Alligator mississippiensis: one gene and its partners. The protein of the gene in region 2 interacts with the protein of the main gene of each other region in a biochemical or structural test. Links are inferred from orthologs where the notes say so. Each region holds a gene or a part of one and is shown on either strand. Other genes may lie near its edges.

Evidence for each region. The genes of interacting proteins can lie anywhere in the genome.
Region 1: the proteins of RNF7 (region 2) and UBE2F form a complex in vitro, tested with the Homo sapiens proteins (10 studies listed by BioGRID, with this or other methods). The link is inferred for Alligator mississippiensis from reciprocal best matches to the Homo sapiens genes RNF7 and UBE2F.
Region 3: the proteins of RNF7 (region 2) and UBE2S form a complex in vitro, tested with the Homo sapiens proteins (3 studies listed by BioGRID). The link is inferred for Alligator mississippiensis from reciprocal best matches to the Homo sapiens genes RNF7 and UBE2S.

What each region holds. Positions count from the first base shown.
Region 1 is NC_081827.1:187,282,692-187,290,086, forward strand, and holds the start of UBE2F (NEDD8-conjugating enzyme UBE2F), read right to left. Parts: upstream 3,008-7,395; 5' UTR 2,841-3,007; intron 1-2,840. UniProt on the Homo sapiens protein: Accepts the ubiquitin-like protein NEDD8 from the UBA3-NAE1 E1 complex and catalyzes its covalent attachment to other proteins. Together with the E3 ubiquitin ligase RNF7/RBX2, specifically neddylates cullin-5 (CUL5).
Region 2 is NC_081830.1:55,993,003-56,000,923, forward strand, and holds the start of RNF7 (RING-box protein 2), read left to right. Parts: upstream 1-4,707; 5' UTR 4,708-4,724; coding exon 4,725-4,902; intron 4,903-7,921. Other genes in the region: uncharacterized protein LOC109284208, read left to right, coding at 1,382-1,393. UniProt on the Homo sapiens protein: Catalytic component of multiple cullin-5-RING E3 ubiquitin-protein ligase complexes (ECS complexes), which mediate the ubiquitination and subsequent proteasomal degradation of target proteins.
Region 3 is NC_081828.1:74,782,600-74,790,358, reverse strand, and holds the start of UBE2S (ubiquitin-conjugating enzyme E2 S), read left to right. Parts: upstream 1-4,752; 5' UTR 4,753-4,915; coding exon 4,916-4,918; intron 4,919-7,759. UniProt on the Homo sapiens protein: Accepts ubiquitin from the E1 complex and catalyzes its covalent attachment to other proteins. Catalyzes 'Lys-11'-linked polyubiquitination.

The DNA.
Region 1 (7,395 bases), on a different chromosome or scaffold from region 2:
AATTACATAAAGTATTTTGAGTTCCAGATAAATGAGAGTTCAGTGGTATCCATAGCATGCTACTCAGTGGCAGTAAAAGCCACTTGATAAAGCCACTAAGAAAATGTTATTTTGCAAGACGACAAATGACTGCACCCAATAAAAGCCATTAATGTTTTAGGACATGAGGTTAAGCACCGAACGGAATATTTAAAGTTGGGTTGAGACAAGTCCAGGTGTAAATATGGAGTGAACTGGCTTACAGTGCATCAGGTTCTAGCATAGAATCAATTACAGCAGAGAAATTTCAGTAAGTTTCACTCTGCTATCAAGGAAATTTCTTTCTATTTCTTTCTTAGCTAAACATACCACTTCCTGAACTTGTTATTTCTATAGAATTTCAATAAAGGAGCCCATCCAAGCAATCAGAGAACCTTTAAGAAGTTGCAAATATGAAAAGACCATGCATATCCGTAGAGAACAAGGTACAGACATCAAAAGCTGTATTCAGAAACAACTTTCTCCCAACAGTTCTGGCCACACAGAACATCAGGGAAGGGGGATACCATGGAATAGGAAGAGGTAACACAAAAATCTCCGGTCCTGAGGCAGCTTTGACAATTACCAGCATCTACAGTGAACAGAGATACCATTCTCTGTTAGGTGCTCCTTATCATTATCACAGTAAATACCTAGACAGGTACTCAAAGAGAGGCTCAAAGACGGAAGTGATATTTTGTTATAGCAGTCCTCCCTGATACCAACTAAGAAAGAGTTGCCCAGTAAGTCACTATCCAACCCCCCCTGCATAAAGTAATTTATTACATTAATAGGCAGCATACAAAGATCAGTGCTTGAAAATGCCAAAAAGCAAAGCCAGAACACACTGATAAAAAAACAACCTGATTGTAGATAATTGTTTTTTGCCAGCAGTTATGCCACCAAAAGGAATGGAAAAGCCAAGACATTGAGGCCTTACTATTCTTGGAGGGGAGGAGAGGGTTCATTCTTAAGCTGCCATATATGAATTAACTAAATTAAGGTAGAGGAGAAAAAAAAAACCCCAAGCCAGGACAGCTTGGGTCTTTACACAAGTTGTCAAGTTGAATAAAAAGCTACAGAAAAGCAGGAAGAGGCAGAATTACATATGGCCTTTAAAATATTCCATAGAAGTATGAATTTAGAGTGGAAAACAGAAAGCCAACTGAGGAGTTTATAGGTAGGGTGATGTAATCAGAACCAAAAAATAAATAAATAAATCAATGCAGTGGGAACACCATGGAGGCCAATCTGAGACGTGAAATGAAGAATCTGGTAGAACACTCTGCACATGGATGCTCCTTTCTTGCAAGCAGTTCACAAAACTGAACTTTATCAGATCCCTGTATCAGCAGCTTTTTCACCCTCTTATCACACTCATTCATACCACAAAATAAAAAGCCACTGGGGAAAAAATTTTAGCCCTGCCAATTTGGCCAAGTCCACTGTAAAATCTGAAAGCAGCAATGTGGTTCCAGACTGGGATTTACATGCCTAACTTGAGAAGAACCTGAAAGTGCTGGTGCATTTAGTAAAGGAGCATACAAAATTAAATGAAAATATTCAGAACAAAACTCAAAAAACAACATGGCAAAGACGTGCACCAGTAAGGTCATCTTAAAAGGAAAACAGTTTTCACAGTATCAGCTGGCATGCTGTACTGATAAGAAATGCAAGAAGGTTGAAAGCACCAAGACAGACAGCATCTGGTATTAGGCTACTGACTCAGACTAGACAAAGCCATGTATCCAAGGGCAAATATAAATTTAATTAAGGCAAAGTGAGGCAGGGCAGAATGAAAATTCACTGGTTCCCTCTCTGGAACAGAGGAAGGGACAGAAAATAGTCCAGGCAGCTGTGCTCCTTCAATGCAGAAAGGGGGAAGAGAAACAAGCTTGGCAGAGGTTCTACTTTTAAGGGGAGTGGGATAGAAGACCAGATAAGCTGGGGCACGTAGGCCTGGTCTTACAAGGCCCTCGTTTCAAAGCTCAGCTTCCAAATGCTGTAATTTCAATGGGAGTTATACACCTAAACACCACTGTGGACCTGGCTCCTGCTGCTTTGCACCAAAGCACAAGAGCACAGCAGAAGGCCCCTCACAGGGAGGAGTCACATCTACCAGCAAAGATACATAGGTAACCACACTAGTCTGAAGTCAGGCAGAAGGCAAAGGAGAGATGCACCTTATGGATTAACTCAGTGGTGCTCTGATTTTTGGCCCCAAGGGCCAGATGAGGGCTGACCCATGAGCCAGACCAAGCCTGACACAGGGCCGGGTCCTCTGCACCTGGATAGGGTCTGAGCCCCACGCGTGGGGATCTGCTCCTGGCATCCTGCCCCCCTTGCCAGCCCCAAGAGCCCAGTGTGGCAGCAGGGGAGCAGCAACTCCAAGTTCCCAAAGCAGGGGGGGGGGGGGCCTGTGAGCCAAATGATGCAGTGCAGGGGGCAGCTGCTGGACCAAGCCGACCAGAGGCAGGAGTGTTTGTGCTCTCCTGCCTCCTTGGTGGCGCCTGCCAAGGTGCTGAAGCAGAGCGGAGGTCTGTGCGAGCGCCCGACCCAGGGGCAGGGAGTGCCCGGGGTCCCTGGGGGGGGCGAGGCGAGAGCCCAGAGCCGCCCTGGAGAGGGAGGGGGCCGGAGGGGCGCGGAACAGAGACGGGAGCCCCCGGGAGGGGCAACGCGGGGCCCCCGACCCGGCTGGTCCCAGGGTTGTGGCCTCCCGCCGGCCCCGCCTCGGCCCGCCCGCTAGCACCGCGGGGGTGGGGGGGGGCCCCGAGCCGGAGCAGCAAGGGAGCGCAGCTGACGGCGGGCCGGGCCGCGCTCACCTGGCCGCCGCCGCCTCAGGTCCCGGCTCCCGCCGCAGCGGCCAACACCATCCCCGCGAGGCCCGAGCCGGGAACGGGCCGCGGCCTCCTCCTCCTTCCTCCGCGGCTGCAGAGCCGGAAGTGGGGGGCGGGGCCGGGGCGACGCCGCCGGATTCAGTGTTTGCAACAAGAACTTTATCAGCACGGCGCGGCGGCGCGCACACGACGGTCTCCAGGCACAGCGGACGGGAAGGGGCGAGTCTTGTCCCGTGCTGCGATCTTGCGTGACCGGCCAACACTTTCCCCGTGCTTTTCCCTCACGGGCGGGGGGCGCTGGGAGCTGGTGCTATTTAAAGGAGCAGCGCAGGGCGGCGCCTTCTGCCGAGTCACCGTGACTCTGCGTTGCCGGGCTTCGGGCGGGTGGCTGGGCGCACTGGGCTGTCTGGCTACCCTCGCCCGCGCGGGCCTCTCGCCCTCCCGCTGCTGCAGGGCTCGGGACAGGGATGCACGCACGTGAACACTCTCCCTTTTGGGGAAGAGCAAAACCCCATGGGCTGGCTCGGCTGAATCAGGAAGGCAGCTGCCTCCCCCAGCGCTGCCCCAATGGAAAGGCCGCTGCTTCTCCCGGCCGTCGGTTCCATAGTTTGGATGGGGCAGGAATCGGAAGTCGGGGGGGTGCAGCTGCACCACTGTCCTCCCGCCGGACCCACCCCAGCTACAGCCTTCTGCTTGGGCTTCTGACACCGTGCGCAGCCCGCGGGCCCTGACCGGCAGCTCCCGCAGGCTCCTTGTGTTTTGTGCTCCCCGGCCCACTCCCACTCTTGTTTTATTCACAGACTGCAGTGAACAAAAACTGCAGACATGCAACAAAATTGGCCATTAAAGTGGCTTAATTGTCCTTTTGCACCGCTTTAATGGCATTGCTATTTACATATTCAGCAGTGTATTCTGCTTTAATGGTGTTGCTATTTACACGTTCAGAGGTGTATTTTGCTTTAAATAACCCCTTGGAGGTACTTTAGTTTGCTACAGAACAAAATGCAACAGGGTGCTAGAAGCCAATGTACTTGGGCTTGGGCTTCCAGTGCCTCATGGCACCAATCCCACCACCTTCACCCACCTCCAGCACACCCAGCCACTCTCCTGCCACCTTGCTGTACTGCCCCAGGGGCAAGCTAGCCATTCCTGGGAAGTCCCAGGCAGCGGGAAGGTGGAAGGGATGGTACACAGGGCGCTGGAGCCTACTTGCCTCTCCCATAGTGGGTGGAGAGGGGGTGGCAAGCAGTCCCTGAGCTGCAGGGGACTCCAGTCCTTCCCTCCATGATAGCAGCATCTTCTAGGTGGCCCCTGCCCACTAGCACCCAGCCCAACAGAGAAAAAAAAAAAGAGCCTGCCTGCCTGAGCTGAGTGGGATCTGGTGCTGCCCTCCATGGTGGCAGCACCGCCCAGGCAGCACCTGCCTGCTAGCAGCTCACCCAGGTGGTCCCATGGGATGCCACTGCTGCAGAGGGAAGCATGGGGCCCTGCACAGCTCAGGCAGGTAGACTGGGGAAAAAAAGATCAGGCTCCTTGCCACTTTTTTTTATCCCTTCAGTTGAGCCTGCCTGCATAAGCTACCGCTGGGTCACACAACCCCCAAGATGTGTGGGTCCTGGTCCTTCCCTCCACGGTGGCGTCACCCCCCAGGTGCTAGCAGGCAGGTGCTGCCTGCAGGGCGCCCTGCAGGGAAGGGAGGGAAGGGCCAGGTTCCCCTGCAGCTCAAGGACTGCTTGGCCGGTTGCCGGCAGCTCGTCCCTCCGCCCCGCCGCAGGAGGCAGGAAAAAAAAAGGATCAGGCCCCCTCACCCTTGTACACATGGCTGAGGTTTTGTTCTCCCTAAATTAAAATGGTGGGTTTTTAAATGACACAATTAAAAACCCATTGTTTCAATTTAGGGAGAACGAAACCCCCGTCACCTGTACAAGCACCCCAGGCTACTAGGTCGGATTGGTGTTATATTCCTGGTGAGTGCCTGGTGAATGGGGCTCTGATCCTCAGCTGGCATTGGGAGGGGTGACCAGATGATAAATAAAAACTCTCTTCTTTCCTGGTAAATTGCAGGCTCTCCATCAGGACTCCTGAATAGTGTCTAGAGAACTGGAATAGAGCCATGCTATCTGGAGAATGTAGCCTATCCTTGTGAGAAAGAAGCCCTGGTGATAATTACATTCAACTCCCAGGTAGTTGTGTGAAACTGGAAGGAAGTGGTAATGGAAATGGAAATGGAGGTGTTTTGTGATGGAAGAATAAATTGATGCTGCCACAAAATTCAGCAGTTACTGTAACAGCATTTTTCCCAGCATGTATGGGACCGAATGGATTCCTGATAGATCTAGATCGCCCCTGGTTCAAGGGCTTTGAGATCTCTGGCTGAGCCACCTTAGAACTGGCCAAATAAACTGAATTGCACCATTTAGTAAACTGAATTTGTCATTCACTTGATCTATTCTCTTTTTCCCCCTACTTCCTCATTGCATAAGCATAATTTACTGTCAACAGTAAAAACAAAAGGCCCTAATACTCCCATCAGGAGCTACTTGTGCCAACTGTCATACAAATCCAAATAAGCATGTTTTTAAGAAGTGTCTGAACAAGCTAGATTGAGGGAAGAAGAAAGCACTGTTGCTCTCATTTTATAGATGAAGAATGGAAGAAAAAAAAAGATTAGGTGACATGCTAAAATTCAGTGAAGAACTCCGTGTCACAACTGAGAATCAAACCCCGGTCTCCTATGTTCAGTACAAGTTTTTTAGAGCTGTTGATAAAACTGGTGTTTTTATTGTGAGAAATTGAGCAAAGTATTTTCATTTGAACATTTTCAGTTGAAAAAGATCTACTATAGTTACTCATTTGCCCAGAAGAATTGAATCAAGATGAGACAAAGTACCATTTAAAGTTGATATTTGGAGAATAAAAGGAAATTGTTTTTACTTCTCCTCCAGGAAGAGAGCTAACATTTTTAGGTAGATTAGACATTTTCTGTATGAAGAAAATCAGCATTCATTAATCTATTTTTCAGGACAGAGAGAAATTTCAGCACAGAATATTGTAACTAGCTCTAGTATTTTGTTGTAACCTTTTAAATCAAAACAAAAATCCCATCAGTCAAAAGCAGTAACCACAGACTAAGACAGCACTTCATGCCACCCCACCCCTTGATGCTGATTGGCGGAGAGTTCCTGGCAGGGGATGGAAAGGACAAGGGGGCACCCATCATCTTGTCTGCTGCCTTTTGTACCACACCACCACGAGCTAGCAGCTTCCCTTCTCTGCCTGCACAAAATGTTTACGGTGGAGTAGACTACTTAGCTACACAGTAAATGTTGAACATCTACACGTGTGCCCCTATTAGTCTTGAGTGAACTAACTCTGCAGCAAGGTAGCACTTGTAAATATAAGTACTATCTTGCTGCAAAGTTTTTTACTCTGCAGCGGTGCATGTGCAGACACTATCCCAGCTGCCTGAAGCACAAGGTTGCTTCAGTATGGGGTCTGCCTGCTGGCTAGTAGGGCTGTGCAAAATTTTGCTGCCTGTTTCGATTCAACACTGTTTCAACTCATTCCAAGCTCGAAACAGCTAAATTGAATCGAAACAAAGGGCTTCGAAACAGCCTTGAAAGAAAACGAGGCTAGTTGAAACATTTCAAAAGTTTCAAAACGTTTTGAGTTTCAAAGCACCCAGCAGCCAGGTGGTAGGAGACAGGGACTCCCAACAGCTCCGCAGCCCCATGTGGCTCAGCTGGGCGAGGAACACAGCCCTGGCTCTCCCTACCTCCCTCAGCCGGGCTACAGCTGATCACAGTACAGGGGAAGAGAACTGAGACCCGGCTCAGGGGAGATCAACAGCAAATAGGCAGAGCCCTTTTCTCCCCAGCACCACCTGCAGTGACAAGGAACAGTGGTAATAAGCTGATGGAGAATAGGTTTAGGTTAGAGATCAGAAGACAATATTTTACAGTTAGGGTGGCCAACTTCCCAGGGAAGTGGTCCTCGTCCCTACCAGCTACCTGTTGATTACCTCCAGAAAGCCCTAAGTGGACACTGTCCTATCTGCCTTACACAGCATTAGCTAGCATACCACATGCTGGCTACAGTCTGTGCTATGGGAGAGGGGAGAAAGGGATCTCTGCTTAACAGCAATTTGGGGGGGCGCCACAGGGAAGCCAACAGACCCTGTTGTGCCTGTAATAGGGCTGTGTGAAACTTTGGGTGGTGATTCAATTCAGAAGAGATTCAGCCTGATTCAGCGGCCGAATCTCTGAATCCAAACTGAATCAGGGGACCAATTAAAAGGTCTGAATTGATTCAAAGCTCTACGAATCTTCAGAAAAGATTCAGAGAGCTATGATGATTCGGGCAGCCCCAGTGGCTGCAGCAGGGAGCTGCAGCCAATTCCAAGCCGGTAAGTACTAGGGGCAGAAGAGAGGGGGCAGGGGGAGGGGATCATGGGGGGACTCCTGTCAGTTCCCTGAGTCCCCCTCAGCCCCCCCAACCCCCACCTGCTCCCCCAGCCCCGCCATGGCTGCCACACCCGGCC
Region 2 (7,921 bases):
AAGACACCCCTCATTAATCTCAAAGCACCCTTCAGAAAAAGCCAGCTCTTAGTTTTCACAGGTTTATTTTTACTATGGAAAAATAATAGAGCATTTTTTCTGTTGCAAAGAACTTGGACCATGACACATCAGAAATTTTTTAACACTATGGACTCCTGTTTGAAATCTCTGGGTTCATCTTGTGAATCATGGCTGCTTGCAGATGTTTAAACCCCCACCCCCAAACCTCCCCAAAAACAATGCTTTACTTTAAACTTGGCATGCTCCCACACAGATCCCAGAGCATGGGACATGGGGCCATGGGGGAAGGCATGGTACACTGCGTTAGTTGGACCCAGATCACCAAAGTCTGTACAGAACAGTTGTTTTAGTGGGGCTTTTTTGGCACTTTTATCTAATAGCTGATTGACTCTCCTATTAGATAAAAGCCCAAAAAGCCCTACTGAAGTGCCCAATCTATACAGATACTAAGGAGCAAAAGGTTGAAGTAACTTGCTGCTTCTTCTGGTAAAGCGCTTTTTTTTTTTAACATCTGCATGCAGCCCATGTTTGCACACCTAACAGTACTAACATTGTGTACCACACCTTGGCACCCTTGCAAGGAACTCAGGGTACACCAGGGTGCTGCAGGACCCTGACTGAGAATCACTGGTCTAAGCAGAGTGACCGATAAATTGTAATCTATTTACAATCTTATCTACATTAAGAATTTTCCCAAAAGACTTTCCAGAATAACTATGTGGGAATAGTTATTTTGATACAAACCCCAAGGCGGTCAACTTTATTTCCAAGTTAGCCTCTAAAAGCTTTTTGATTTACAACAGTTTAATTATTCAAGAATAGTTACTTTGATAAATTTCCAAACGTGGGAAAGCCATTAGGATCTGACTCTGCATTCTTTCTTTACATGGACTCACTCAAGTCCACGGTAATCAGCAAAGACCCAGGAATCTGTGCATGCAGATCAGAAGGCCCATATACATCAGTGTTTAAAATTTGGAAAGGAACACAGTTTAAAATATATATATATTTCTATGTTAATTATTTAAAATGTTATCACAGGTAAATGCTTTTCATTCTAAAATCATTCTGAACCAGATATTACAAAATTATTCTGAACATGTTGTTAAAATTTTGTTTTAAATCAATATAAGACCATCATGCTTTGAGAATTAAAATACAAAAAATGAACCTGAAAACAGTTGCCCTTTCCCATTAACTTCAAACACTTCATGAACAAATTATGCCACTAAATGCATTTAACTTTCATGCACATTACATAAGTGTTTGTGAGACTGAGATCTCCATATGTCATACATTTCAGCCAATCATGCACATAACACAAAATGTATATTTATATTCATTACCTTTTTTCTTTCAGACAACAAAGTGATTGTTAAGCCTACATGTTCCTGCAGATGGGACTGTGTACAAGAAAATTAATATACTTCAGCAGATTATTTCTTAACATGGCACTCTGACTTTCTAAATACTACAATTTTTGTGTGTAATTTTTTCACTTTACTCCATCATATAGGAATAAAATACAAAACATTATTGTATGAAACAAAGTATTTTACCATTGGTTATACATCTTTGAAGACAAACATTCAGCTGTTTTAAAGCAGAATAATAGTAAAATAGAGAAACTCAAGTGAAAATTGTGTTTTGTTTGCATAATTCCTATTGGCATAAATGAAGTTATGCACATACATCAGTCACACTGATTACAAATGACCAGTTGGTTCATTGTCTAGTAAAGAAAACAGTGAGAACATATTCCCAGGAGTTCCAGTGTACCAATGCAAGCAATGTTAAAAACATTAGAATGTGCAAAGAATTTAGATCAGTTGCTCTCATTCAATCTAGTAAATTAGGCGTAAGTAGCTTCTAATTAAGTTAGAGGAACATAACAAACACACCCTTTTTCCTATGGGAGCTTTGCTGCCTGAAAAGAGGACATTGATTTAATATTTCAGTTAAATGCTGATGGCTGAATGCAGACTAAGAGGGAAGAATGACACTGCCACATGTTCTGTCCAAAACAGACTTCTTGAAGTAGCTGCTACCTCAACGATCAAATATTCAAAGCAGACTAGGTTTAATTTATGGAACTTTTTACAATGATAACCAAATGTGGTATGAATTTTGTATTAACGCTCTACAGCTCTGATTTCACAACTGATCCTACATGGACTGGTGATAGGCCCTCTGCCAGTTACAGGGCAGGAGTCAGCTAGGAAGTGGCCTTTTAAATGATGAGACTATTATTAGAATTACAAAACCCAGCAATAAACTCAAGTAACTTAAAAACCTTAGCAAAACATTTATAATTTTTACCAAACACACAAAAACATTGTGTGCAATTGGTGTCACCATTTCCCAGCATCACCAGCTTCTCTCATGGGAAAGATGCAAATGTGACAAAGGGAATGAAGAATTATTCAAATTATTGTTTAGTGTTCATATTATTTTTTAAATATACCCTCCCTGACAAAAGCTGGATTATTCCAAATCAGTCACAAAAAAGAAAAGTAAGGAAAGCAAAAATGGATAGAGGGCTGGGAAACATGACTTAGGAGGAAAGGGTCAGGGAAATGGGTTTACTTAGTGGGTGCATCCACACATCTACACAAGTAGACTAATTTCAAGTGCAGTATAGCATCACCCATCTACACAGGTGCAGCAATTGGGCTGGTGAACACTAATTTACAGTGCCATTGGATAGTCCTGTCTGACACAGGTACTATCCAGCTGCAGAGTAATTATTGCGCTTAACCATACATGTAGATGTTGATATTGGGATTAGTTTACTCTAGTTCATGGTAAACTAGGGTCATTCCAAAGAGGATGAAGCTAGACTATTCTCAGAAGTGGCAGATAACAGAATAAGGAGCAATGGTCTCAAGTTGCAGGAAGGGAAGTTTAAGCTACAATAAGGGTGGGCAAAATACAGCCGTAGGCTGGATCCAGCCCACCAAGGAATTTTATCTGGCTTGCAGCAGGTTCCTTGGCTCCGCCTGGCCCAAGGGCCAGGGGCAGCTCAAGCCACAGCACATGTTGCTGATCCCACTTCTCCCTGGTGTGCAGCGGGACAGGGGCAACACAGTGGCCAGACTCACTTTGCAGCTCCTTTCAGCCACTGCCATCACCAAACCCAGCCCCACTGCCCAGGCACCCTGGCCCATCTGCCTTGCACCCACCATCGGGGTACCAGATGGAGTGGGCAGATGGGGGTCTCCATGGAGCCTGAGACCCACACAGGCTGTGTGCTCAGCTGGGTGGACGAGACAGGGCTGCAGGTAGGCGGGAAATGCTGTCCAGGAGCAGGACAGGCAGGCAGGGACCAGGGCCAGGGCAATGACAGCATGGGGCCAGGCTCTGGGGTAGAGCCACCTAAGTTTTGGTGAGCTGTTGCAGACCATGGGGCTGGGAACAGGGTACTGACCACCTTGCAACAGCTCACGAAAACTCCCTAAGTGGTCCTCCAGCCCAAGTGATTTGTCACCCCATGGTTAGGTATTAGGACAAACTCTCACTAGGAGGGCAGTGAAGCACTGGAATGGGGCTGCCCAGAGAGACTGCAGAATCTCCATTCTTGGAGGTTTTTAAGACCTGGGGAAGACAAAGCTTGGCTGGGCTGAGAAAGCTGAGGCTGCTGCTTTGAGCAAGGAGCAGGGGGCTGGGAAGGTCGCTTCCAACCCCAGTGTCCTCTGGTTCACAGTTCACAGATTTCACAGACATTAGGGCTGGAAGGGACCTTGTAACATCATCGGGTCCAGCCCCCTGCCCAAGGGGCAGGAAGTCAGCTAGGATCCCAGCAAAATAAGTATCCAAGTGTGTTTTAAAGGTGTAGAGTAGGTGCTTGCACCACCCCTGGGGGGAGTCTATTCCAGCCCTTGGGGGCTCGGATAGTAAAGTTTTTCCTTATGTCCAGCCTAAAACAGTCTTGCAGGAGTTTGTGACCATTGGACCTTGTCATCCCTTGGGGTGCTCAAGTTGACCCCTCTTGCAGGCTTCAAGCTGTGGCTTTACACAGATGGTGAAGTGAGCTCCAGCCAGAAAGCTTCTATCTGCCTAGACGGAGGGGAGAGGCGCAGGTGCCCGTATTGCCAACTCTCCTTTTTGGTGTTGTTCTTAAAGTCTTTGCTTTCTTTTCTGTGTGTGTGCGTGTGTTAGTATTAGGAAATGTATAGCTACACACTTAGCTATATAGAAAAACTTAGCTTTCTTTTCTACACATACACATATATTAGTAATATATATTAGTATTAGCCTCTCTCTATATATAAACACATGGAAAAGAAAGACCTAAGTTTTTCCGAAGCGTGGTGTTTAAGTAAAGGCCCGTGCGAGCCGGCAATGCCGAGGCGCACCCGTGCTTCAGCCCCGGGTCGGCCCTGCCCGCGGGGGGCGGCGGCGAGGAGCTGCCCGCGGCCAGGCCGCGCTGGGGCCCGGCGCTGCCGCCGCCTCATGCCCCGGGGCCCGCCCGAGGGGCGAAGGGGAGCGTGTCCCCTGGGCCCGGCCGTGCCTACGGGCCACAGGCGGGGGGGCCAGAGCCGCTCCCCGCGCCCGTCGCTGCTCGGCCCGCACCAAGAGAGGCCGCGCGGCTCCGGGCTCCGGGTCGCGCCGGCCCGGGACAGCGAGGCCGGGGCGCTGGGGGGCGCTGCCGCCGCGCCGGGCCTGCCTGGCACCTCCCCTGCCGCGGCGTGCCCGCCCCCGCCATGGCCGACGCGGAGGACGCGGACGAGGCGGGCGGGCCGCAGGCGCAGGCGGGCTCGGCGGGCTCGCGGCCGGGCGGCGCCGACAGGATGTTCTCGCTCAAGAAGTGGAACGCGGTGGCCATGTGGAGCTGGGACGTGGAGTGCGACACCTGCGCCATCTGCCGCGTGCAGGTCATGGGTGAGCGCCGCCGGGCCTCGCCCGCTCTCCGGAGAAGGCCGAGCGGGCGGGCGGGCGGGCGGCTTTCCCGGCGGCCGCGTTTCGCCCCGCTCCGCCCCGCCCCGCGGCGGGGACACCCCGAGAGCTGCGGGCGCAGCCAGGCCCCGGGCAGCCGCGGGCCGTAGCCAGCCTCCCTCGAGCCCAGTCGGCTTCGCAGGTGATGCCAGCAACCCAGAGCCCGGCTCGCTGGCGTCTCCCTGGCCGCTCCGTGGTACCAGAGCCTCCTGCGCTGTCTGCAGGGCTTGGCTCCCTTCCACCCGTGTCCAGGTGACTGGAGAGCAGGGGCAGTGCCTCCCCTGGTAGATGGCATTTGGCTGTGGAGTAGTTACAGTCGCTCCTGGATCATCAGGGGTCTCCCCTGCATTCAGTTTCTGGGGATACAAAGCCTTTCTCCACCGGGGCTCTCAGCCGGGGCCATGAGGCACCCTGGGGTGCCAGATCCTTTGAATGGTGCTGTGAGGTGCGAGGAGATGAGCAGAGAAGCTAAGCAAATAAGCAGGTCCAGGGTTGTCCCTTCCTGGACCATCCCCCACCTAGACCTGGACACAGGCAGGGGTGAACCAGCTGCCCAGGGCCCCAAAATGGTAGCTTTTTTCCCATTGTCCGATTATGATTATCATTATTTCTGGCAAAAAGGGGGGCCCGATACTAAAAGCTTGCCCGGGCCTGGGTCTAGGTATGGTACTGCCCCCAAGCCCACTGACCAGCCCCTGGGGAAGGAGGTGAGTGCTGGCATCCATACATCAGCTCTTGAGATGTGGTGCTGCTCCATTCACAAAAGCTGTGGCGGACGCTTTGTCCGAGCAGGGATGCAGGCTCCTGTCCACAAAGGTTGAGAACCATCATTGCACACCATGGTACGTACGGTCCCTCTGCCTCTTTACAGCTCTGGAGTACTTTTCCCTTCCCAAGGAGCTGGACCACATGGCTCCTGCTCTTGCTGAAAACAGTAGTGCAACCATGGCCTAAACAGGGCTGTCGAACTTCTGAGTGGTCATGGGCCATGGGCTCTTTGGCCATGTGCTGTCCAGGCCACGTGGGCACCCCCCTCATGCTATGTGTCCTCCCCTGCTCCAGCTGCACAAAGAATAGGGGGTCTACTTAAATCACCGTTTTGCAGATTTAACAAAAACCACGAAATCTAGGAGTGCTCACCAAATCCAGAAAAAAAACCCTCAATAAAAATAAAATGCTGGCTCCCCAGTGGGAACTAGCAGTCCTTGTCGCTGTAGTAGCCCAGCCTCACAGCCCACCCAGGAGGGGAAGGCACTGGCTGGTGGGGGCAGCAAAATGAAGGGCAGCAGAAAAAATGTCCACTGTCCCCTCATTCTTTCTGCCAATCAGTACTGAGGTGTAGGGCCACATAAAGGACAGCTTGCAATCAAGTTGGCAGCCATCCCCTTAGGGCTTCCCCACCAATCAGTGCCAAGGGGTGGGGCTGCCAGAGCACATCCGCAAAATGTCCACAGAATTTTCTCATGATGTTGCAACCAGCCAGCAAAAATTGGTAAGTCTAACCATCACCTCCATGCTGCACTGGCCATGGACTTGCTTAGCCCCACAGGTGGCCCTGTGACACCCTGCCCCCGGGGGCAGGGACAGGTAGCAGAAGCTGGAGGAAGAAGGGGGAGCCTGGAAATCCCAGCAGCAGCAGCAGGAGAGCAATGAGGGGAGTGGTTCCTGGACTGGGAGCCACTGGTTAACTCCTTGGGGGCTGCATGTAGCCTTTAAGCTTCTAGTTGGACAGCCCTCTGTTAAGATTTTGACAACACGGCAGTTGAATATAATTTCATCTCTAGGTCGTGTGCATCTAGGACAGGATTAACTGTTCTAGTTCAGTGTTCTGTATCATTGGTAAGCAGTACGGAAACTAACTGCATTAGGCAGATATTCACATCACAAAAATCTCTGTAGGTAGCCTGCATCATCAGTCTCAGTAAAAGGGCTGAGGATTGTGGGTGTGGAAAACTGAACTATCCTTTGCATTGTAAGGGCAGTAAATAGTAAATAACATTTTCAGCCCTTGTATACAATTCCTTGCATCCAGAGATTTCAGTGTTATGCAAAAGCATATAAATATCAGTAAGGATTATTGGTTGTAGCTGTGTTGGTCTAAGGACTTAGGCAGACAAGATTCTTTGGTTAGATGTGATATCTTTTATTAGACCAACTAAATAGTTAGAAAAATTGTTCTTTGCAATAGCGTAGCCCAGCCATGAAGAACCCTGCATGCAGATCCAGGGGCACGCAACCACCTGCCCTCCCGGGCTGCATGCCCCCTCTCTCCCTGTGCCCACTGGATAAGCCATTCGCAGCTCTGTCTCTGGCCCTGCTCCAGCTATGCAGGGCTTGCCCCTCCCTCACCGCTGTTGGGTGGGGGGAGGTAGCAGTCAAGGCCCCAGTGGTGAGGGAGGGAGTGGGGTAGGGCTGGGGTCTTGATCTGTCTCCCCCCCCATGGCCCTTTCCCCTCCCCACAGACTTATCTGCTGGGTGGGAGGGGATCTTTCATTCCTTTTAAGTTCCAAAAGTGATCTCTAACCTAAAAGGGTTGGAGACCAGTGGTGTATATGCTTCTTTTTCAAGGGCTATCAATCCCAAACCCTTCAAAGTATTAAATTCACATACATGCACCCAAGTTACTGTTAAAGTTTTCCATATGTGAAGCGCATTTAAGAGTAATGTTACCCCATTATCCCATAATGTGGAAATTGACTTTTTTTAAAGATTAATTAGGGGTGCACCAATATATTGGTTGTCTATGGGATCAGCACCAATAAAGGAGAAATTACATTACTAGTTATCTTTTTTTTGGTTGTTGTAGTTTATAATTACGGCCGCAGGCCCACAGCATGTAGTCCAGTCCCCATGCCCTGCTGCTGGCCCAAGCCCACAGCAGACTACAGGTCCTGGCAAGCAGCGAGAAGGGGAGAGGGCGCCTGGGAGCAGTCACAGGGCACCAAGCTAAGCAACAAAGGGCCTG
Region 3 (7,759 bases), on a different chromosome or scaffold from region 2:
TCTTGCTATGATGAACCAACCACTGCTCAGTATTCACTACTCACTAATAATTATCTGTCACTTCTTAAAAGGAATTTCTATAATCTATACAGTCTCTATTACTACTCAGTATAATGAATGACCCAATCACTCTTTGTAATCCAATCCTATTTATTCACACATCACAATTCATTATTCTGTACTTACCATTACTGGTAATTGTTTGTCACTTTCTACTCATCAGGAACCAATTAGGAATCTCCAGTCACCATCCACCATTAATTAGGTGGCAACTTCCACTCATTTTTACCTATTACAGTTTATTCCACTCACCAAACCTAAAGCATCATTCACTACCCACTGTTCTTTCCTATCATATTTCTATCCTGTGGTCACTACAATTCCCTGTTCCCTACTCCTAGTCCCCACCCTTTCCTTACTTGACTCACTGGGTGTATCTATACAAGACGCTAACTGTGCTGTAGCCTAATAACACTGTGCAGTAGCCTTCCAGGCAGAAACTGCGCTAATATGCTACTGCACAGTAGTAGTAGGCTACTGCACAGTAAGCATCACTAAAAACTGGTGCACCAGCACTACCGTGCAGTAGTGCAAGTTACTGAGCATTGATTTAGTACTTGGGGTTAACCAAGTACTAAACTTAATGTGCTGTAACTACGGCGCATTAATAAACGTGTAGACATGCCTAGTGGTCTTTATAACTGCCCACCATGGCTTCATCACTCTTGGCTGTTTCAGTTGTCTATCCAAGATTGCAGTGGTATTAGGTTTGGCCTGAGACTCCATTTGCTTTGCTGGACAGGCTGTTGGATGCCATTCCTGGGTGATAATTTTCACTCTCCAACAATCACTGATGGCCATGGGCTGTGGTCTCAGGAGCCTGTCAGGTCTTCTTGTGACTTTGCCATTGTCTGCCCTTTAGGGACTTTTGTTCCTCATTCCCCATTCATTGCATGTGATTCACTATTCACTGCTCATTGTTTGCTGATGTTTGCACTCTATAGCACATTATTTAAGTTACCCCTGGTGTCTTGTCATTTACAAGTTATTAACACCCTTTCACCAGTCAGTGTATATGGCTTGTTCACAAGTCACTCACCCCCATAGACCAGTCACTAGCTCCTGTTCACCAGTCAGTAGCACCTACCTGTTCATGGCTTGCTGTTCATTCACAGCAAATTACCACTCAACTGCTCTTTGCTTTCCTCTATCCCTTCTCTTCCTTTGACAAGCCCAGTGCAGTTGCTGCATCTAAATCAGGAAGGCACATAAGGGCCTTCCTGCCTGGCAGGGAGCCAGCATGATCCACATGAGAGCTTACCCCAGGCCACAGCATGCAGACCATTCTTCATGAGCAAGCCCTTGGGTTCAGACAAATCCACACTAGGGAAGGAGTTTGCTAAATCCCAGGGAGGTAAATTCTTAGCAACAATGTTCCAAACATGTCCAGCAGTAAAAGGCCCCAGGGACCAAATGGTTTAGCTGATACACACTTGCACTCCACTGCATGCTTCCCTGGTATGACAGAAAAGAGCTCACACCCCCCTGCAGTATGGTGCTCTTTGCTGAGCCCCCTGTTCCACTCCCCATTCTAAGGTATCACCCAACCTTCCCACCCCATTCCACACCCCATGGCATAAGTCCCCTGTCCCTTTTCCTGCAGCACAGCACCCTCTACTAACCTACCTGGTGCTTCCTGAAACCCTTGCCTGGTCCCACAACACCTCCTCCCTGTAGCTGGGGCATCAGGATTGTTCATACCCACTGGGGACCAGGCTCTTTTTTGCATCTTCCAAAGGTGCTTGCTGGGCACAGTTGCCTAGACCTTCGACTTCCCTTCAGGGCCTGTGGAAAAGCAAGGGTCAGGATGGAGACACAGGCCCATCTTGCCCAGCCCCTGGTCTCCATGAGTGGGCAGCCCCTGCAGCCTAAGCAAAAGGGACTAGGGTGTCCCCAGTGGGCAGTGTTGAGGGGATCCCTTCTCATCCCTCACCCCTGATGTTGGATGACTTATCATTTCCTCCCCTTTCCTGCATCGGCTCACGTGCCTTATGGTTAGGGCCGTCCCTGGGGGGAAGGCAGGGGTGGTAAATCAGGGTGACCAACCTGGGTCGTGCGTTTTGGGGGGCCCTGCGCAGTGCCATACAGGCCCTGCCGCCTTCTGCAGGTGGTTGCCACCTCCCTCCCCTCTGCTGCCGCTGGCTTCTGTGGGCGGTTGCCATCCCCCTTCCTGCCCCACTGGTGATGCTGCCACTGGCTACTGCGGGCAGTTACCACCCCGACCCTCCGGCCCCACACAGGCTGATATGCCCTGGACTCCGCACACCACTAGGGACAGCTCTGCTTATGGCCACCCTCAGTGGCCCCCTGCCTCATCTAGACAGGGCAAAGCAGAGTCTGGAAATGCCCTGCTCCCCCTGAGGCAGCTCCCAGAAGCCATTGGGAAGGCAGGGTCAGCTGTGGGCAGGAGGACAATTCCTATGCTAGACAAGCAGAGGACAGTGCCCCACTACACAAACGCACGCATATGAACACTCAGGCATGCACATAAACGGATTTGCATGCATAGGCTGAATTAGGCTCATGTAGGGTAGTGTCCACACAAGTACGTGTGTGTAAATGCAAACACACGAACGTGCATGCAATTTAAATCTACCAGTATGGGGTAGTGTTCATACGCACACTCTCATGCACATGCACACAAACCCAAGAATCTAGCCAGTATAGGGCAGTTTCCACAAACAAGCACATAGACATGTACATAATCTGAATCTAGCCAGTCTGGACCAGCATCTGCACACACACACACACACACACACACACACACACACACACACACACACACACAATAGTAGGGGGGAGTGCCACACACACACTACCAGGGGGTAGTTTGGATCAGCATCTGCACACACACACACAACCAGGGGTACTGCCACACAAACCAGCAAGGGGTGGTGCCACACTGGCACTCAATCTTCCTCCCCAAGTCCAGACTGTATGGAACAGGGTGCCACTGACCCCTCAGCTCCTCCATGTACTCTGTGCTGCTATGAAAACATTCACGCTGCCAGCCCTGCACTGCACAGAGATTTGCCGGTGTCAGAAACAATTCAGGTAAATCCACACGAACTGACACGCAGAAAAAATCACACCACAAAGCAAGTGTGGGAGAGGAGCACAGAGCAGGCCAGGCGAAGGGCACCAAGCTTGACCCACAGGACAGGGACACACAGCGTGTCTGAACAAGTACTAGAGGCTGTTCTGCAAGTCCCTGGAATTGCTGTAACCCTGTTTTTTGAATAAACTGATGTTTCCTGCTACTGGCCTCCGTATTCATTGACAGTGGCACTGAGATACAGACCCATCTGGGGTGGGGCATGTCTGAGGCTGGTGACACAATAGTGTGCGAGTGGAAGCACGGGCTGAAGCTGGCCCACCTGGGATGCACATAGCCTGGGCACAGGCTCCAATCCCTAAGGTCATAGGGTTGCCAACTCTGAAGCTATTCCATTTTTTTTTCCCCAACATGATATCAGTAATTGTACTGCTCAAACCATTAACAATATCAATTTCCCCGATTGCTTTCAATAGTCACTGGGAAATCTATGCCGATTTTGGTAGACTCCTGGCCAAGCTGGGAGGGTTGGCAACCCTATAAGGTCACAGGAATCAGCAAAACGCCCACCCTGTGGGCTTACAGCTGGAAGGAAACAATGTAAACCCTGACCTCACTCTCCCCTGCTGTGAGTGTGGGTGCCCCCCATCCTCAGCCCTGCTCTTTGGGTATCTTTCCCAGACCCTGGGCTCCAGCCCTGCCCCCTCAGGCCTTCGTGCCTGGCCCCGTGGGATGCACAGACAGGAAGGGGTGACATCCCCCAAATCAACTCGCCCCCACAGCTGGGGCACCCCAGGGAACAGCCTGAGGACAGGAAAGCTCATAGCTCACACCCCGCGGGGCACCAGTGCCAGGGGCGGGGCCGGGCTAACCCTAAGGTTCCCGCCTCCCCTCCCCCTTGCACTGACACTCCAGTTCCCGAGCCCGCAACTACAGCAATGAGGGGGGGGAGCGCTCCGAATCCTCATCCCTGAATGGCTGCCCAGCCTGTCCATTCTCATGCGTGAAGGAAGTACCTCCCCGCCCCCTCTCCCCTTTCCGCCCCCAAGGGCCTATTCCCCGCCCCTGTGTGGAAACGGCCCTCAATGGGAGCCCCCCCCCGGACTCGTCCGTTCCTATTGGCTCGCCCACCTGGCGATCGAGCATTTCAAACCTCCGCCCCGCCCCCTGCCTGCAACCGTTGGGGTAAACAGCTTTCCCCCCACCTTCCCTTCCGCTCTTCTCGCCTCCCTCCTCCCCTTCAACCGCCGCCTCGCGAGGTTCGTATTCAAATCCCTCCAATCGGCCCGCTGGCTCCGCCCCCCGTCTCACTCTCTATTGGCTTTCGCCCGTCGCGGACGTTTGTTGTCAACGTCCTCTCGGGGACAGGGGGTGGGAGGGGGCGACCCACTCCGTTCCACCAGGCTTGATTGGGCGGCCGGGATTCGGAGGGGGCGTGGCCGGCCGGGGCCAAAGGCTATAAAGTCCTTTGCTGGGCAATCGCCAGCCTCAGTGCAGAGGGTGGGAGACGGCTGGAGAGCTGCCAGAAGGGGCGGCCTTGTCCGGGGAGGGTGGGCCGGACGAGGTGGAGGACAGGGGGCAGCCCAGCCCAGTGTGGGGGAGGGCGTTAGTGGGATTGGGGGGGCTTGGTGGGCACAGGTGGGGAGGGGGGGGCCTGGGAGGAGACCCTGCCTCTCCCCACCCAGTGCACAGGGGACTCTGTACGGTGCTGGGCTGCCCCTGTGCACTTTGGGGGGGCCTGTCAGTCTAGGGGGGTGAGGGACCCCCGGTCTCTGCCAACTTCCAGCCAGACCCACCACCATGGTGAGTGGCTCTCGATCCCTTTCTCTCTACATCTCCTTAGTGCCCACCCACCAGGTTACAGGGTGGCCCTTGGGTGGGTGGAGCTGGTTGCACCCCCGTGTTAAGAGGGGCCTCACTTTAACCTCTTCTCGGGGTGGGCAGGTGGGTAGGCCCTATGGAGCAGGGACCTGTGTGTTGGTGGTGGTCATAGCAGCTGTAATGTGATGCTAGGCCTGGTGGCTGTTGGGGTGTGGGGGAGGAGCATGTACATTTTGGGGTGTTTGATTCCTCTTCGATATACAGACTCAGAGGATGGCCTAACAGTAACTCTGTGTGTGTGTGTGTGGGGGGGGGGGGTGCGGGGTGTTCCTGGCAGCCCTTGGTCTGCTGCTTGGTTTGGGGCGTGGGAATCTGCTGTCCTGGGCTATCGTTATTTACCAATAACAGAGCAACCCCAGCCCTTTTATATGGTTTTGGGGGTGAAAGGGGTGTTGGTGAAAGTTGAGTCCATTTAAACAAACTAAGGAAGCTTTAACAGGCCTTATCTGGAGGTGAAAGTTGACTCGGGTTTTTTGTTTTCCATCTGTGAGAATGGCTGCCTCCTTTAAAAAGCTGCTGTTCCACTGCTAGCTTGAAAGTGGCTATAGAGTGGGTTGGCTGCTTGTTTTGGTTCTTTTTTTTCTTGTTTTGTGAAGCTTAGAAAAACCACAGGGGCCAGTTTTTTCCTCTGCTGGGCCCAACTTTGCTGCAGTCTAAGTGGGGGATTCTGCTCAAATGTCTCAAATCCCTGTAAAAATGAGGTCGTGGGTAGTGCAGTAATCTGTGAGTCCAGGCGGGGGTCAGGTCCCCTGCAAGAGAGACTCTAGCAAGTAGCTGGGGAAGTGTTTTTCCTTCCAAGGCCTTGCCTAGCTCCTACAGTTGCTGTTTTATTATCTTTTTTTTGGTGCAGTTTTTTCCTTTTGGATGTTCCAAAAAAAAAATGATTGGAGATGTCCAGTTTTTCAGAGGTGAATCGGAGACCCAGAAGGTGGCCCCCTTAGTCCAGTGCCTGGGCTAGTAGATTTTTTACACTGCTCTTGCAAACTTTAGGAGGTTGGTTTGTGGCACATGTACATGAAACTCCTTTTTTCACTCTTGGTGGGCACATGGCAAGTTAGCGAGCGTCTGAAAGGCTGTCAGATCAGCATGCAGCGGGGCTTTCAGTGGCCAGGTCCATGCCTGTAATGCCTGATTTTATTAATATTTTACTCTCATGGCATGTTTGCTTCTAGATGCAGCTGCAAACAAAAGCTGGGTTTTAAGATTTGAGGTGCTTCCAAGAGGCCTGAATTATTAAAATCTACATGGCCTTTAAAGCTCAGGCATCTGGAAATGGCCAGCTGCAGCTGAAGCATCATGGCCTAATTTCTTCCAGGTCTTAGGCCTCTGTTGTGGGGACAAGCACCTAGAGTGCGTGTATTTTTATGGTTGAAAAAGGCAGGAAAGTGGGAGATATTCATCCCCTCTGTATGGTGCTGACTTCCAGCTCCTTCCTGTTGGGGAAGGGACCAGTGGTTGAGCCCCAGGCCAGGCCCTTCCCCTTATGGGCCTAGTGGTAGAGAAAAGGGAATGGAGTGCAGCCGGAGCTCTTTAAGAGATCTCCTGATGCTCCAAGTGGCCCCTAGCTCTACTGCAGTCTTTTCTTGCCTTCTGGCATTTTCACAGGTCACCTGGGTTGGGGAACAAGGGGGTTTTGGAAGGGGAGGTTGTGGGGGAGGGGGGGAGGTTGGCAGGCTGTCACCACAGGAGTGTGTCAGTACTCAGGCCTGTGGTGGATGAACAGCAGCTGCTGGCCGAAACTTCTCTGCTGAGGCTTTGTTGGCTTTGCCGGAATCTCCTGTTTGATGTGGGAAGGGGGCTTCTGACTTGCCTTCTTCTCCCAAATGCTTTTTCAGAGGCTGGGGGATAGCTGAACTCTCCCTCCTCAAAGAGGACAGGCTGGGCTGTTTCTCTCACAGACCTGATCCAACAGATTAGGATTTGGGAGTCCTTGGAGTCTGAATCCTGGCTTAGTTGTAAAGAGGGGGTGGAATTTGGGGGTACAAGGTAGGTAAGGGAAGATGTGGAGGGAGAATGGGGGGGGTACTGGGGCTTCTTCCACCTGATGCTTGCTAGGGTCCATAGCCATAGGTCCTTTTCCTCTACCCCCTCCCTGAGTTATGACTGAGATGTGAGGGAGCTAGGTTGCTGGGGCAGGCCTGTAGCTGTGTGGGGCTGTCCAAGTGAGACTGCCTGATGGCAGGGCTCTGGTCCCATTTTCAACCCCCCGTCCCCCTCCATTCTGAACCATTCTGCACTGTTGAGTTCCCCTTCCCTGATCTGGAGCCTTGTCAGGGCCCCAGTTTTCAGCTGAGACTTTAGGGGAGTGTCAGATGTAAGGCAGACCGTTTGCTGAGATCAGTTGAGGCTTCCTGAGCCTGGGGAGCTTGCAGGAGACTGCTACCTGCAGCTTCCTTCCAGAAATAACTTGGGTGCCTTGGCATCAGGCAGGTGGGGGGATGTCCTCCTGTCCTCACTCACCAGTGTTCTCAGCTGCCACTATCTCATGGACTTGGCAGCAGTTAGTCTGGCATCTTGCTGGTTTTCTCCGTTGTGTTGTCCCAGTCCAGCTTGGGGGTTGACCAGTGTCATCTGCAGTGGGGGAGGGGTGGCTGTGGTTTTGATCAAGGTGATCAGAATCATTGAGCCTGATGTGTACCAATTACACTCCAAGGGACCTGGGATTTGCAAGAACAGCAGGTCTGGTGGGGAGTGGGGTGGGGAGGGAGGATTGGTGTAATCCCTTGCAGAGGTGCTGGATCCCAAATAGATGCCTGTGCATCC